2 linked regions of the Astyanax mexicanus genome follow. The protein of the gene in region 1 purifies or fractionates together with the protein of each later gene. This does not show direct contact. Links are inferred from orthologs where the notes say so. Each region holds a gene or a part of one and is shown in the gene's direction. Other genes may lie near its edges. The genes, in order: cfap20 and CLK4-associating serine/arginine rich protein.

What was found.
Region 2: the proteins of cfap20 (region 1) and CLK4-associating serine/arginine rich protein purify together in Homo sapiens (affinity purification with mass spectrometry; 3 studies listed by BioGRID and IntAct, counting the BioPlex papers as one, with this or other methods). This does not show direct contact. The link is inferred for Astyanax mexicanus from reciprocal best matches to the Homo sapiens genes CFAP20 and CLASRP.

What each region holds. Positions count from the first base shown.
Region 1 is NC_064410.1:3,711,141-3,718,230, reverse strand, and holds the start of cfap20 (cilia- and flagella-associated protein 20), read left to right. Parts: upstream 1-3,819; 5' UTR 3,820-4,048; intron 4,049-4,222; 5' UTR 4,223-4,338; coding exon 4,339-4,422; intron 4,423-4,921; coding exon 4,922-5,001; intron 5,002-5,610; coding exon 5,611-5,722; intron 5,723-5,823; coding exon 5,824-6,012; intron 6,013-6,734; coding exon 6,735-6,845; intron 6,846-7,090. Other genes in the region: oxsm (3-oxoacyl-[acyl-carrier-protein] synthase, mitochondrial), read left to right, coding at 1,007-2,004, 2,586-2,988. UniProt on the Homo sapiens protein: Cilium- and flagellum-specific protein that plays a role in axonemal structure organization and motility. Microtubule inner protein (MIP) part of the dynein-decorated doublet microtubules (DMTs) in cilia axoneme, which is required for motile cilia beating.
Region 2 is NC_064416.1:2,807,278-2,814,814, forward strand, and holds the start of CLK4-associating serine/arginine rich protein, read left to right. Parts: upstream 1-4,445; 5' UTR 4,446-4,594; intron 4,595-6,475; 5' UTR 6,476-6,516; coding exon 6,517-6,615; intron 6,616-7,537. UniProt on the Homo sapiens protein: Probably functions as an alternative splicing regulator. May regulate the mRNA splicing of genes such as CLK1. May act by regulating members of the CLK kinase family.

The sequences.
Region 1 (7,090 bases):
TTATAAGTACGGTGATATAAATTATTTTTCAAAGAGTATGAATATTTGATATGCCAATCATATATCATTGTTTTATTTTATTTTTATTTATCATTAAAACGCTGAGAAATATCTATAAAAAAACTGCTCTCAGAAAAAGAACGAGTTTGGGGACTTTTATTGTGACAGGTGATCTGTGTGTAAACCGACAGTGTTTCCTGTTGCAGAACGGTTGCTGCTGCGTGTGTTTTTATAGGAGGTGTAAAACACAGTTACAGTAAGTAGTTTTACCTCAGTTATATAAACTGTGACAGTGCGTTTTACAGATAATACAGGGTAATATAAGTAGTTGTGTGTGGTGCATGTGGTGCTTATGTTATAGCTATTCTGTAGGTCAACGGGGAGCATGCGCACTGAGTTTTTAGGTGAGAGACTGTCTGTGCTGTAGTTAATCCAGCAGCACCACTATAAAATAGTTTATTCATCCATATTTTGTCAGTACCCGCTTTATTAGTTAGGGCCAGGGTCATTAATTCAAAATTAAATTATATATATTTTATTTTAATTACAATTAATTACAATAATTACAATTGATAAATGTTTGATGTAAAATGTTGTCACATCTCCTACAAAACATATAAACTAAATAATATTACGAAATATATTAATAACGAAATATCTCTTCAAGTACTTTACTTAAAAATAAAGTATCGCCTTCTCTTTAAGTCCATTTATAGTGTTTATGGAACTATTTAAAATATTTAGTTTTAAAAAAAGTAATTGGTGTATCTCTTTTGAAAGGTCTATTATTCATATTCTTTAGCTGTTTTTTTCTTTTAATGAAGTCTGCTGTAAGGAAATTTACTTAATGTGAGTGTGAATGAAATGAGTACCTCTACCTTATTTTTTTATATTTGACTTTATTAATTATGTCCACTAATTGTTGCAGCCCTACTCATGTTTAATACCTCATAATAAACACTTGTACTCTTTTGATTCAGGTTATCCAGGACTGTGTTGGTGAGACATGTCAGTGACATGTTGGCAGAAGCTCTCAGTGAAGCATTTGTCCAGAGCCCTTTGCATAAGGACCTGTACGAGTGTTTTAGAAACATCTCGGAGGAAATACAGCCACCTTAGCCATTCTAGTACTGCACAGTCTCCCAGGAGAGTGGTCATCACTGGAATTGGACTTGTGTCCCCGCTTGGAACAGGAACGGCTCTGCCCTGGCAGCGTCTGGTCGATGGAGAGAGTGGGATTGTTGCACTGGACTCTGAGGAATACAGAACTGTGCCGTGTAAAGTGGCGGCACGAGTCCCTAGAGGAGATGGAGAGGGCGAGTTTAAGGAGGAAAGGTTTGTTGGAAGAGGGGAGATGAGCTGCATGTCATCTGCCACAGTCATGGCTGTCGGGGCAGCTCACCTGGCTCTGGAGGACTGTGGGTGGTATCCCAGAAGCCCAGAGGAGCAGCTAAACACAGGAGTGGCAGTAGGCATGGGCATGGTGTCCCTGGAGGAGATCGCCCGCACCGCTGCAGCCTTTGAGACGCGTGGGTACAGCAAGGTCAGCCCTTTCTTCGTCCCACGTATTTTGGTCAACATGGCGGCTGGACACATCAGCATCAAGCACAAACTCAAGGGTCCCAATCACGCCGTGTCCACGGCCTGCACCACTGGGGCTCACGCTGTTGGTGATGCTGCACGTTTCATCGCACACGGTGATGCTGTGGTGATGGTTGCTGGCGGCACGGAGGCTTGTGTAAGTCCCCTGTCCATAGCGGGCTTCGCACGAGCACGGGCCCTCAGCACCAACTGGAACCAGCAGCCCAAGCTGGCCTCGCGACCCTTCCACCCAGAGAGAGAGGGTTTCGTGATGGGTGAGGGAGCAGCGGTGCTGATTCTGGAGGAGTACAGACATGCTATGGAGAGAGGAGCACGAGTGTACGCTGAGGTGCTGGGTTATGGACTCTCAGGAGATGCCAGCCACATCACTGCGCCCACTGAAGATGGAGATGGAGCTTTCAGGTAACTTTGCACAACCGCCTACTAGATAAGCCTAACATAATTACCATTTTGTGTTGATATGATGATAAAGCTCTGGAAAAAAATAAGAGATCACTTAAAAATGATGAGTTTCTTTGATTTTACCAAATTGAAAACCTCTGGAATATAATCAAGAGGAAGATGGATGATCACAAGCCATCAAACCAAAATGAACTGCTTGAATTGAATTTTTTGCACCAGGAGTAAAGGCATAAAGTTATCCAAAAGCAGTGTGTAAGACTGGTGGAGGAGAACATGCCATGTGTTCAAAAACCAGGGTTATTCCACCAAACCTTGATTTCTGATTTTTTTTTAACTTTATGAATATGAACTTGTTTTCTTTGCATTATTTGTAATATCTGTGTCTTTTTTGTTATTTCAGCTATTTCACAAAATAAATTCTGCAAGTAAATGCTCTAAATGACAATTTTTTGATTTGGAATTTGTGAGAAATGTTGTTCGTAGTTTATAGAATGATTTATAAACAAGCCTAAGCTCCATATTTAAATACAAGGTCAGCACAGCAATAACTTTATTTTTGCTTTATTTGCTTCACTCAACAGGTGCATGTCTGCTGCTCTACGCAACGCTGGCGTATCGCCTTCAGACGTGACTTACGTGAACGCTCACGCCACCTCAACACCACTAGGGGACGCTGCAGAGAATGCTTCTATAAAGAAACTCTTCCAGAAACAATCCCCGTTACTGGCCGTTTCGTCCACTAAAGGGGCCACAGGGCATCTTCTTGGGGCCGCTGGTGCTCTGGAGGCAGCGTTCACAGCACTGGCATGTTACCATGGTATCCTGCCTCCGACTCTCAATCTGGACCGAACAGAACCGGAGTTCGACCTGAACTATGTGCCCTGTGTTTCTCAGCCCTGGAGCACTGACGGCCCGAGAATAGCTCTCACTAACTCCTTCGGGTTTGGAGGCACCAATGCCTCTCTGTGTCTGACCAGTGTGTGAGATGATGTTGATGGTTGTCGTACACTAAAGCAGATCAGAAATAAGGAATTCACTGAACACTGTTAAGTATTTTGTCAGCTTGTTAATTTGTCCGTTGATTAAATAAATCAATGTGATATTTCTCTGACTAATTCTTTAAAGACTGATTTTCCAGACGGGGATAAAATCTACTCTGTTAAACAAATGAACCTAAAAAATAAGCAACGGGTTAGCCAAGTTTGCAGTCAAGCCATCTGCATCTAAATCTCACAGGCTCAAAATTATTACGGTAATGCATTACTTCAATGCATTTTTTTTAATAAATTTAATAAATTAGCAATAAAATATATTTCAGGATGCATTTCACTTACTATAAAATGTGTTACCGTAAGTAGTTGAAGTATTAGTATTATTATTATTATTATTATTATTATTATTATTATTATTATTAGTAGTAGTAGTAGTAGTAGTAGTAGTAGTAGTATTAGCAGTATTATTATTATTATTATTATTATTATTATTATTAGTAGTAGTAGTAGTAGTAGTAGTAGTAGTAGTATTAGCAGTATTATTATTATTAGCAGTATTATTATTATTAGCAGCAGTAGTAGTATAATTAGTATAATTTGTATTAGTAGTAGTAATGTTAGTATTATTATTATTATTATTATTATTAGTAGTAGTAGTAGTATTACTAGCAGTAGTAGTAGTTTTAATATTATTATTAGTAGTAGAAGTAGTATTAGTATTAGTATTATTATTATTAGTAGTAGTATTATTAGAGCCCGCCCCCCGGGCAGTGACGCGGCGCGTGGTGCTACCAGGACAACCGGCGCATCAACACTGAGGGTCCGGAGTGAACCGCGTCCTGTATCACAGCAACGGGCCGAGCGAGAGCCGAGCAGCAGCAGCAGCAGCAGCTGTGGAGATCTGCCGGGTTTACAGCACTGATTATATGACAGAATTAATTTCAGAATTATTAACACACAGAGACACAGAGTTAAACTGCGTCTGACTGAAGATTTTACATTCCGCCTTTTTTAACAGAGCGACCGTTTAATTCACAGCAACCGGAGCGGAGGTAATAACTAACGGGTTTCGAAAACTGAGTTAGCTTAGCTAAGTTATCTGTTTAGTTTGCTAATCAAGAAGTTAGCTAGTTAGCTTAGCTATCTGGGACTGTGAATTTTAAACGCATTATAAAAGAGTTTATAACCCGTACACTATAATAATAATTTTATATATTTATTTACAGTAAGGAACCAGTGCTCGCCTCTGCTGCGGTGAATCTGTTGCTACACGGACCGGTTTTCAGTGGAGCGCAGAGAGTGTTCGTGTGTGGGAGGGAGATTTATATGATTTTATAAAATCATGTTCAAGAACACATTCCAGAGCGGCTTCCTGTCCATCCTCTACAGCATCGGGAGCAAACCGCTTCAGATATGGGATAAAAAGGTAAACCGACATCTAACGATAACTAGCTAGGTTACATAAAATACATCAGTTCACCTGGAACAGCCGGTGTTCTGTCAAATTGTGCTACCCTGGCATAACACACTAGTAGAGGGAATGGCTTCATAAATGAAAATAGAAATTCAGCTATTGAGGAAAGTAGGTTAAACTAATTATTACATTTAGTTAACTATTTATTAAATTGAATATGGATGGATTGTTAAAATAAGGGAGCAGTTATTTTTAATTGGAACAACTGAAAACAGTTAGGAAATGATTTATTAAATTAGAGTAGTCATTAATTCAACCAAAGGAACCATTATTAGACGTGGGAATGTTTAAGCTTCGTCTTTAATTATTAAATATTTCTACCTTTCTACCTGTATGGACTCCATATAGCCTACAGGTATCAGCTAGTCTACAGGTGGGACTAATTTTACAGAAATGGATTTAGTGAAACTGGCTGGGTTCACTGGGTATAACTCATGATTCCTCTTTTCAGGTGAGAAATGGACATATAAAGCGGATTACAGACAATGATATCCAGTCACTGGTGCTGGAGGTGGAGGGGACCAACGTCAGGTAATCATCATTTTACACATTTCTTTTTTTGTGGATAGTTTAATAGGATTAATAGGATCGAGTTTAGTAGGTTTGTATATAATTCTACATCAATTATTAACAGACTGTCAGCTGGGTGGGCAGAATGACAGTATGTTATTGTTAAAAGTGATAAACTATGTTTTTAGGAAGCATTCACTGTCTATATAATGGGTTTTGTCAACTCTTATGTTTGATTGTGAATAGTGTTATTTTATAGTGGCACTTGTAGGGCTTTTTCTCTCTTCTGACTTGTCAAAAATTGTGTCAGAAAAATGCAATATATTGATCTGCATTGTAAAAGTGTCTTGGAATATTTTTGTGGAACCCCCAAAGGACCACCTGATCAACTAAATGTGTACAGTAGAACCTTCAATCCTTATTGTTTATACAGTTTAAAGTTATTAACAGTACACATGGAAATACCAGGTGTAAACTTTTCTCTCTCTTGTCTCACTGTCAAATTGTGATCAGACAACTCACCAGATAAGAATGGATATATATATATAATTGCATCACCTCTCACTATTGTGGTTACAAGTCCTTATCGCTATGGATATCTTCTATTCACACTCTGGTTCATATTCACAGCACAACATACATCACATGCCCGGCAGATCCGAAGAAAACCCTTGGCATCAAATTGCCCTTCCTGGTTATGATCATCAAGAACCTCAAGAAGTACTTCACATTTGAAGTTCAGGTAAGGCTACTGCATATGTGCGGGTGTTTTATGCTTTTATTGAAGAGCTGTGATGTGCCTTAATTAATCACAGATCCTTTTAATATCTCACCGTGTCCCAGGTGCTGGATGATAAGAACGTACGGCGGAGATTCAGGGCGAGTAACTACCAGAGCACCACCCGGGTGAAGCCGTTCATCTGCACCATGCCCATGCGACTGGATGACGGCTGGAACCAGATCCAGTTCAACCTGTCGGACTTCACAAGAAGAGCGTACGGCACCAACTACATTGAGACGCTCCGTGTACAGGTGGGCAGTGGAGGCAAAAAAGACATGCTGTTTTGCCTGTACTAATATAATATAATAAGAGAGACATGTCATCTGCTGGTGTTGATCTACTGTGTTATATACAGTATTTTATGGAGATGTGGATTTCATTTTCCAGCAGGACCTGGCACACTGCCAAAAGTACCAATTGGTCTTATATAATATTTACATTTTCTGAGACACTGATTTTTGGGTTTTAATTGGCTGTAAGCCATAATAATCAACCATAAAAGAATAAACACATAAAGTAGGTCCCTCTAAATATAACTGCACCTCCTTAACATTCTGCTTTTCTAGAGTAAAATAAGTATTAGTTGTGGTGGCCTGGAAATGGGGTATGTTCAGGTACATTTTTAGAGTATTGCTATCTTAGCATTGAAAAACACAGGTGCGCCACTGACTGAAATGAACCCTGACAGCAGTCAACCATCAGACGTTCATTATTATCTTGGCAATGTGCTTACACACCCTCTTGTTATGCTACCATTGCTGTTCTTGTAAATGAGCTGGTGGTGCAGTTTCACAGCGTAAACGAGAAGGTTAGTTGGACACGTCCAGGTAGCTGCGCCGTTAAAATAAATAATAACATATTTATTATGTTTGCTTTTTACTTCTTTTCACTTTTAATGCAATCTCAGAAGTTTCTGAATTAGTATTCTACATATTATTAATTTCAATTAATGAATAGCTTCATTATCTTGCAGATTCATGCCAACTGTCGCATAAGAAGAGTGTACTTTTCTGACAGACTGTACTCGGAAGATGAGCTCCCGGCAGAGTTTAAGCTTTATTTGCCAGTTCAAAACAAAGCAAAGGTAAGTTCACACCAACACCGGTACTTTTATTTGTGTACCAACTGTAGGCCTGTATGTGTGCATATAGGACTGGGTAATATGGCAAAGAATACAATAGTGATCAGTGGTGTGCAGTGAGGCCCTTCTAACCCTTCAGAGAAGGGGTGACAAAAGTGCATGTAAAAAATTACATCATTTTTATTAGGGAATATATAATATAATTATTGTAAGTGTAAGCATTTACATATGTTTGGGAGGGCGGGGGG
Region 2 (7,537 bases), on another chromosome or scaffold:
GTATTGTATACTCTCTCACAGCAGGTAAATGGATCAAGAGGACTGAATGTTTAATCTGTTTACTGGCTGATTTTTGGGAATTTATCAGAATTGTATAATTGTGTACATAAACAGTTTAAACAGGTGTCTTAGAGAACAACAATCAGCATCGATTGCTTTAATATTTTTATTGTGCTTAAATTGTGCTTAGAGATATTTCTCTATTAATGTGCAAATGTCAATAAAGAGGTTTGATTTTTATGTTTTCTACATTTTTATTGTGTATTATTTGGGCCAATATGAGTATAAATTGTGCTTTGAGTTTAAATTTAATACTCAATAAAAATCAAGATTTACTCTGAATAACCACTTCATTACAGATATGAAGAAATAACTTTAATCTTCACCTTAAATACTTAAATATACATATTTTCTATTGTACATTTTATAATACATATATTTTTTTATATGGGTGTTTGTTCGGGTTTGCCATGTCCGCAGTACTGCTTTAAATAAATAAAGTTAAATAATTACTTTAAATGGTTAAATAAGTGCAGTCCTAGCTGAAAGTGTTGGGACCACTGAATTTTGAAATTATCATCAAAAAAGGGACATCAAAAGCTTTATAATACTTTGCTGTACTTTCAAAGGGACTGAAGACTATCAATAATATTAATTTACAGTAACTTAATATTTCTTATATTGTCTCCATAATTAAAGCTTAAATAAAAGAAGTAAAGTTTAATCTATCCAAACTGGTGCAGTAAAATATTACAGTAATTAAGATAATTTTCTTTTTTTTTTATATCAAAAATGTATATTTTAAACAGAAGAACAGTCACTGACCAACCAACTCAACCACGTTTTTATTTAAATACCAGTTGTTGCTAAAATCATGATAAAGATAAAGATTAAAAAGTGAATAAAAATAAAAAGTGATTTTAAGCTGGAAATTATTAATTACATGTAGTTTTTTTTTTGTAGTCTTTAAAATACATCAGTTTCTCTGATTTTGTTATTTATAGGTTTATGTTTGAGTAAAATGAACATTGTTGTTTTATTCTATAAACTACAGACAACATTTCTCCCAAATTCCAAATAAAAATATTCTCATTTAGAGCATTTATTTACAGAAAATGATAAATGTCTGAAATAACAAAAAAGATGCAGAGCTTTCAGATCTCAAATAATGCAAAGAAAACAAGTTCATATTCATAAAGTTTTAAGAGTTCAGAAATCAATATTTGGTGGAATAACCTAAAGCATCTTGGCATCATGTTCTCCTCCACCAGTCTTACACACTGCTTTTAGATAACTTTATGCTGCTTTACTCCTGGTGCAAAAATTCAAGCAGTTCAGTTTGGTGGTTTGATGGTTTGTGATCATCCATCTTCCTCTTGATTCTATTCCAGAGGTTTTTAATTTGTTAAAATCAAAGAAACTCATCATTTTTAAGTGCTTTCTTATTTTTTCCAGAGCTGTAAGATGAATAGTAAAAATAAATTAGACAATTGTGTTTTTTGTATGTTAAAAGGGCTTTGTTCTGATGCATTGTTCTGATGGTTCTGTTTGATGTTTGTGGTTTGGGTGTTTAAGCCTGGCCACAGTGCTGCAGGCCCGGCGGGGCCTTTAACTCCCAGAGCATCGGTTATAAAAGGGCTGAAAATGAGGCGACTGTGGTCTAGGAAGTCCCCCCTGAGTGACCACACTGGCGCAGAGGAACGGTCCAGCAGGGCGTCACATGACATGACTTCTGCCCCACCCAACAACCTTACCTAACTGAAAAACAGCCCCGGGGCAGATCTGTGTACCGAGCTCAGCCCTGTACTGAACTGAACCAGTGCCAGGCCTCCAGAGAACATACCTTCAGATCAGCACTAAAATAATACAGCAGATTAAATTAGACTGACAGGTCAGGAGAACAGAATGTGCTGCACTGAAAGGACCGATCGAGTCATTTGATTCTGATCATTCTGATTATTTGGATTCCAGGTACCACATTACCCTTATAAACTCCTAGAACCTGGCGTCCACATGTGTGAACATCACATTTTGGGTTGTTTAGACCACAACATTTAATGTTGCTCTACAAAGGCCTGGTGTCCACTTATGAGGCCATTATACTGCCACCTAGTGATTGTGATGGTGATTGTTGTATGTCTTTGTGTTAAATTAGCATTCAAATGAGCCATATTGCTCAAATCTATCTATCTATCTATCTATCTATCTATCTATCTATCTATCTATCTATCTATCTATCTATCTATCTATCTATCTATCTTATTTCAAAAAGTGGGCTTGATATAAGTGATGCAAAGTGATACAAGTGATCTGTAATACACCACATTAGGCACTAATGGTCAAATTTAAATAATTTAATTAAGATATATATGTAATGCCATCTAGTGGCTTTTTTGGTAGCAGCAGTGTGCACTATTAAAACAGCAATGTGCAACATAAAATAAATAATAAAAAAATACAGGAACAGTCATGTATAAAATAATAGAATAATTAGAGCCTTAACGAACTGAACTCTATCCTACTATAACAGTTAAACATGAAAAATAAGACTCAATCCCTGAGAATGAAGTTTTTTCTTTATTAAAGATATATTATTAACTTTATCTGAGAGAAAGATGCTCCTTAAGGTACCAAAACTATTAACATATTTGAGGCTAGACAAAACAACTGTTATTTTTATATTTGAAAGTTTTTCTTTAAGAAGATGAGAACGTCCACATTCTCTTAAGCAGTCACAAAATCCACGGCGTCGGCTACAGTGTGCTGCACGATTTGCGTAGCTTAGAGGGAGGGATCGTCGATCCTCTTTTTGACTTCGAGGCTCGAGACCATGACATAATTCCGATCGATTTTGATGAAATATCGGAATCGTGACACCCCTAGTGTTCAGACACAAAATAAGTGTTTTGCACATCATTACTAATTGCGACTTCATTGTGTTCTGGCGAAATTTAAAACTACAGTCCACATATGTGGACATAATTTTTCTCAGAAACTACATAATGTAAAAAGATAATACATGATAAAGAAAAGTTTTTTACACTAATCAGGTGCCAATTAGCCCAAATAGCAAAAAAAAAAAAAAATCAACTTAAAGACCAACACCACAATCAAAAATACAATATACTAGTGCATCTCAAAAACTGAGAATATAATTGAAAAGTTACTTTATTTCAGTAATCCAGTTCGAAATGTAAAACTCATATATTATATAGATGTATTAAACACAGAGTGATCTATTTTAGGCGTTTATTTATTTTACTGTTGATTAAATATTATGTTTTACAGCCAATGAAAACCCAAAAATCATTGTCTCAGAAAATTAGAATATTATATTATTATAAGACCAATTGGTACTTTTGGCAGTGTGGGCAGTGTGCCAAGTCCTGTGAAAAAAGCATTAAAAGTATGTTCACAAAACATTAGGTAAAGAATACTAAGTGCATTTTCTGTGTTAATATACTTACACTATATTTCTGTAAAAGCAATATGCTTTAAAACATATGTTGTGTTGATAGAAAATATATACTGCATAATAGCATTAAATAGGCTACTGCTTAAAGTGCACTTTAGTGTAGTTTAAGTTCTTTTTTTCAGTAGCATTAAGGTGTACACCATATGTGCATCAATATGCAAAGTAGTACATTTACAATATATTGTACTTTAAGTGTATTAAACATGATCTTTAAAAAACACACTTAAATGTGCTTAAGTTCGCAGAAGTTATACGAGAAAAAAAAAACACACTCAAAAGCACAATTTAATGCTTTTACGTTGTGTTTAAATAAAGCTTATTTACAATTGAAATATACTTAAGTTGCCGTAAGTAATATTTGGAACATATTAACATATTAAGCTCAAAACAAAAGAACAAAGCTCTGGACAAAAATAAGAGACGATTTATCAATTATCAAGAGGAAGATGGATGATCACAAGCCATCAAATCACCAAACTGAACTGCTTGATTTTTTGCACCAGGAGTAAAGCAGCATAAAGTTATCCAAAAGCAGTGTGTAAGACTGGTGGAGGAGAACATGATGCTGAGATGTATGAAAAAACTGTGATTAAAAACAAACCAGGATTATTCCGCCAAATATTGATTATTTCTGAACTCTTAAAACTTGAATATGAATATGAACTTTTTTTTTTCTTTGTATTATTTGAGGTCTGAAAGCTCTGCATCTTTTTTTTTTTTGTTGTTGTTATTTCAGACATTTCTCATTTTCTACAAATAAATGCTCTAAATAACTAAAATATTTTTATTTGGAATTTGGGAGAAATGTTGTCTGTAGTTTATAGAATAAAACAACAATGTTCATTTTACTCAGACATAAACCTATAAATAGCAAAATCAGAGAAACTGATTCAGAAAAAAATATTCAGAAAATTGTGAGCTCCGGTCCTGCAGGGGTCGCTGGTTAGTTCTGGATGTATCACTCCGCGCTGTGGACAGGGGGGTGTGTAGTTAGCTTAGCTTAGCTTAGCATAGTTTAGCTTAACTCGGCGACCTGTGCTCCTCTGCCTGCGCGCTCCGGCGGAATAAAGCAGCGATATTAATAAAACACGCTTCCATCTGTTGGGAACTAAAAAGCAGGTAAATATTAACAGTTTATATATATCAGTCCTACGGGGTGTGAGCGCTGCGGCTGGGGGGAAACTCTGCGTTTTAGCGGGTTAGGTGCAGAGCTAGGTAGCTTAGCATAGCTCGTTAGCATTAGCTACTGGAGCGCTAACGGGCGCTAATGCTAACTAGGCTAACTAACTCAGTTAGTTAACATAGGTTAGCTAACTAGCTTAACTAGTTAACTGTCTGTTTCTTAATATTTATATTTAATAAATATTTAATTGTATTAGTATAAATATGATAGTATTTAATATTTAGCTTGCTTAGCTTAGCTAGAGAACTGTTGGTAATCTCTGTAAGTTTAGCTAGCTAATTCCCCTGCAGCTTTAGCTCATGCATAGTAAACCATGCATTTAGCTAGATAACTAACGTTAAGTTTATTTAATATTAATTATCATTTAATATGACTCAAATGTAAGTATTAAATTCTATTTATTTGCTATTAATTTGTATATAGGCTGGTTGGTTATACTTACAGTAACAGTTTATCTTTGCAATCCAGTGGTAAAGCTGGAGTTAATGTTTAACTGGATTAGTTCAACTAGATCTGTGGAAGATATTAGCTAACTAGTCAATGTGAACTATCTAGGTTTGGAGTCATTATAATGATGATTATGATGATACGGCATCGAAAATATACATATATTTATAATTACATAAATATATTGCTAGAGTACCAGTCAAAATTGTGGACACACCTCTTCTCATTCAATGTGCTTTATTTCTTATTATAATTTTTAAGCATCGCAAATTTAATATTGAATACTATATTAAAGCTATACAGGGACACATGCTAAATTATTTTGTAAACAAAAAGTGTTAAACTAACTAGAATATGTTTTATACGTTATACATTTATAACTTGCAGAGAGACTAGGCACCTTGATATAACTTTCTAACTTCTAACTAAGTTTCGGCCAATTGTAGTTGTGCGGCCAGTGTCACTTTTTGACAATAATTGACAATAATTGACAATATTGACAATATTAGCCAATGCCAATGTTTTAAAAGAAAAAAAAATCCTCATCCAATACGATATGCTGGTGTATGGTATTATATGACATTACCCTTGATATAGTGGCTCTTGATACTTCACAAAGACTTGCTGTCTTGGTCATATATATATATATATATATATATATATATATATAGATATATATATAGATAGATAGATAGATAGATAGATAGATAGATAGATAGATAGATACTTTATTGATCCCCGAGGGGAAATTCTAGACATCCAGCAGCAGACACAAAGTTACAAATTGAATACACAAAGTTACAAAATAAAATATATAAAATATAAAGATACATATAAATACAATCAAATAAAAAAGTAGAATGTACAATGTAAAAGCACAGTCTTTAGTGTGAGTGTAATGTAGAATGGAGGTAGTGCAGCCAGTTGATGTGCATAAAGTGAGTATAACTGATGTCAGCCATACAGAAAGTGCAAATGAACAGTTATAATGATTTAAATTCAGCAGTGCAAAAGATACGTAAACAGTAGATGGATGAACTAGTGAATGAACTACTAGTGCAGAATAGGGTAGAACTATAAACATAGTGTTATAGCTGAGGGTGTGTCTTTAGTTTGAAAAGTCTTATGGCCTGAGGGACAAAAGACATATATATATGTATATGTATATACATAAACTGTAATAAAAATGTTAAATGTTTGACCATGCCCCCAGCATTGGATTTTGTGTTTGGAACTCTTGTATTGTTTTGTATTGTTTGTTTTTTACATCTAGAAAAATAAATTTCAGCAAGTGTGTCATTGCCACTTTTCTATTAGAATCAGCTCACACAGATGTGTGTTTGATTGAATCTCTTTCTGTACCAAACCAGCAGCCGTGCCACGACGCGCCCCCACCCCCAGCGGAGCTGTCATGTGGCAGGAGGCCCGCAAACATGAGCGCAAGTTGCGCGGGATGATGGTGGACTACAAACGCCGTGGGGAACGACGGCGGGAGTACTATGAGAAAATCGTGAGTAGAACTCACTGTAATATTAATGAATAAATTCCATTTCTAATCCATGTGTAATTAATATACCTTAAAGAGTATGCTAAAGAAATAGTGAGGAGTAGTGTGGGAGGGGCACTGGGTGATGTATGGGTTTAGGGGAAGGGCAGGAGGGAGAGCTGATTTGGCTGAGCATTGTGCCTCTGATAGCGGTGAGACGGAGCTGTCATTTTAAGACAGTTTATGTAGATCTAAAATATAATGGCATAACAGTAATTTGCATCATCAATGCAAGATCTTGGTAAAAAAAAATGAGTGCAACTCTGATTGAAATAAATCTTGTGATATTGCAACATTGCAGAAGCTTATTGAAACAATGCTACAGTGAATGCATGCACTAATCAAAGCTAAAGGCTTTTTCTTTTGGTGGCGACTTTAGCTTGGCAGTGTGATGATTGATTGATTAAGTGATTGAATTTATTTAATGATTCAGAAAGTACATACACAGACAAGACATTACGCACTTCAAATCATTGAGGATTAAAACACAGTAAAGCACTAAGGCTTGTTTCCATTGTGGTCCTCTACAAAAAACACCCATAATTAAACATCTTTACTGCCCACAAACACAAAACACCTACATAAAACATACTCAAAGATGACAGACAGCGAGGTGGCTTCTCTTATGATATTCCTTATGTATTTAGTACTCTCAATGTCTAGGGTCTATAAACAGTTTTAATATAACCATCTCATTAAAACCTGTTTAAAAACCTGTTTAAAAACCTGTTCCGATGGGCTACATTTAATTTCCATAGGTAGTCCGCTCCAAAGCAAAGCTGCAAAACAACGTAATGTATTCTTTACAAATTGGGTCTTAAATCTCCATGGAATAACATTTATTGTGGTCCTTCGTGTAAAATAAGAATGAGTATCTCTAACCGTA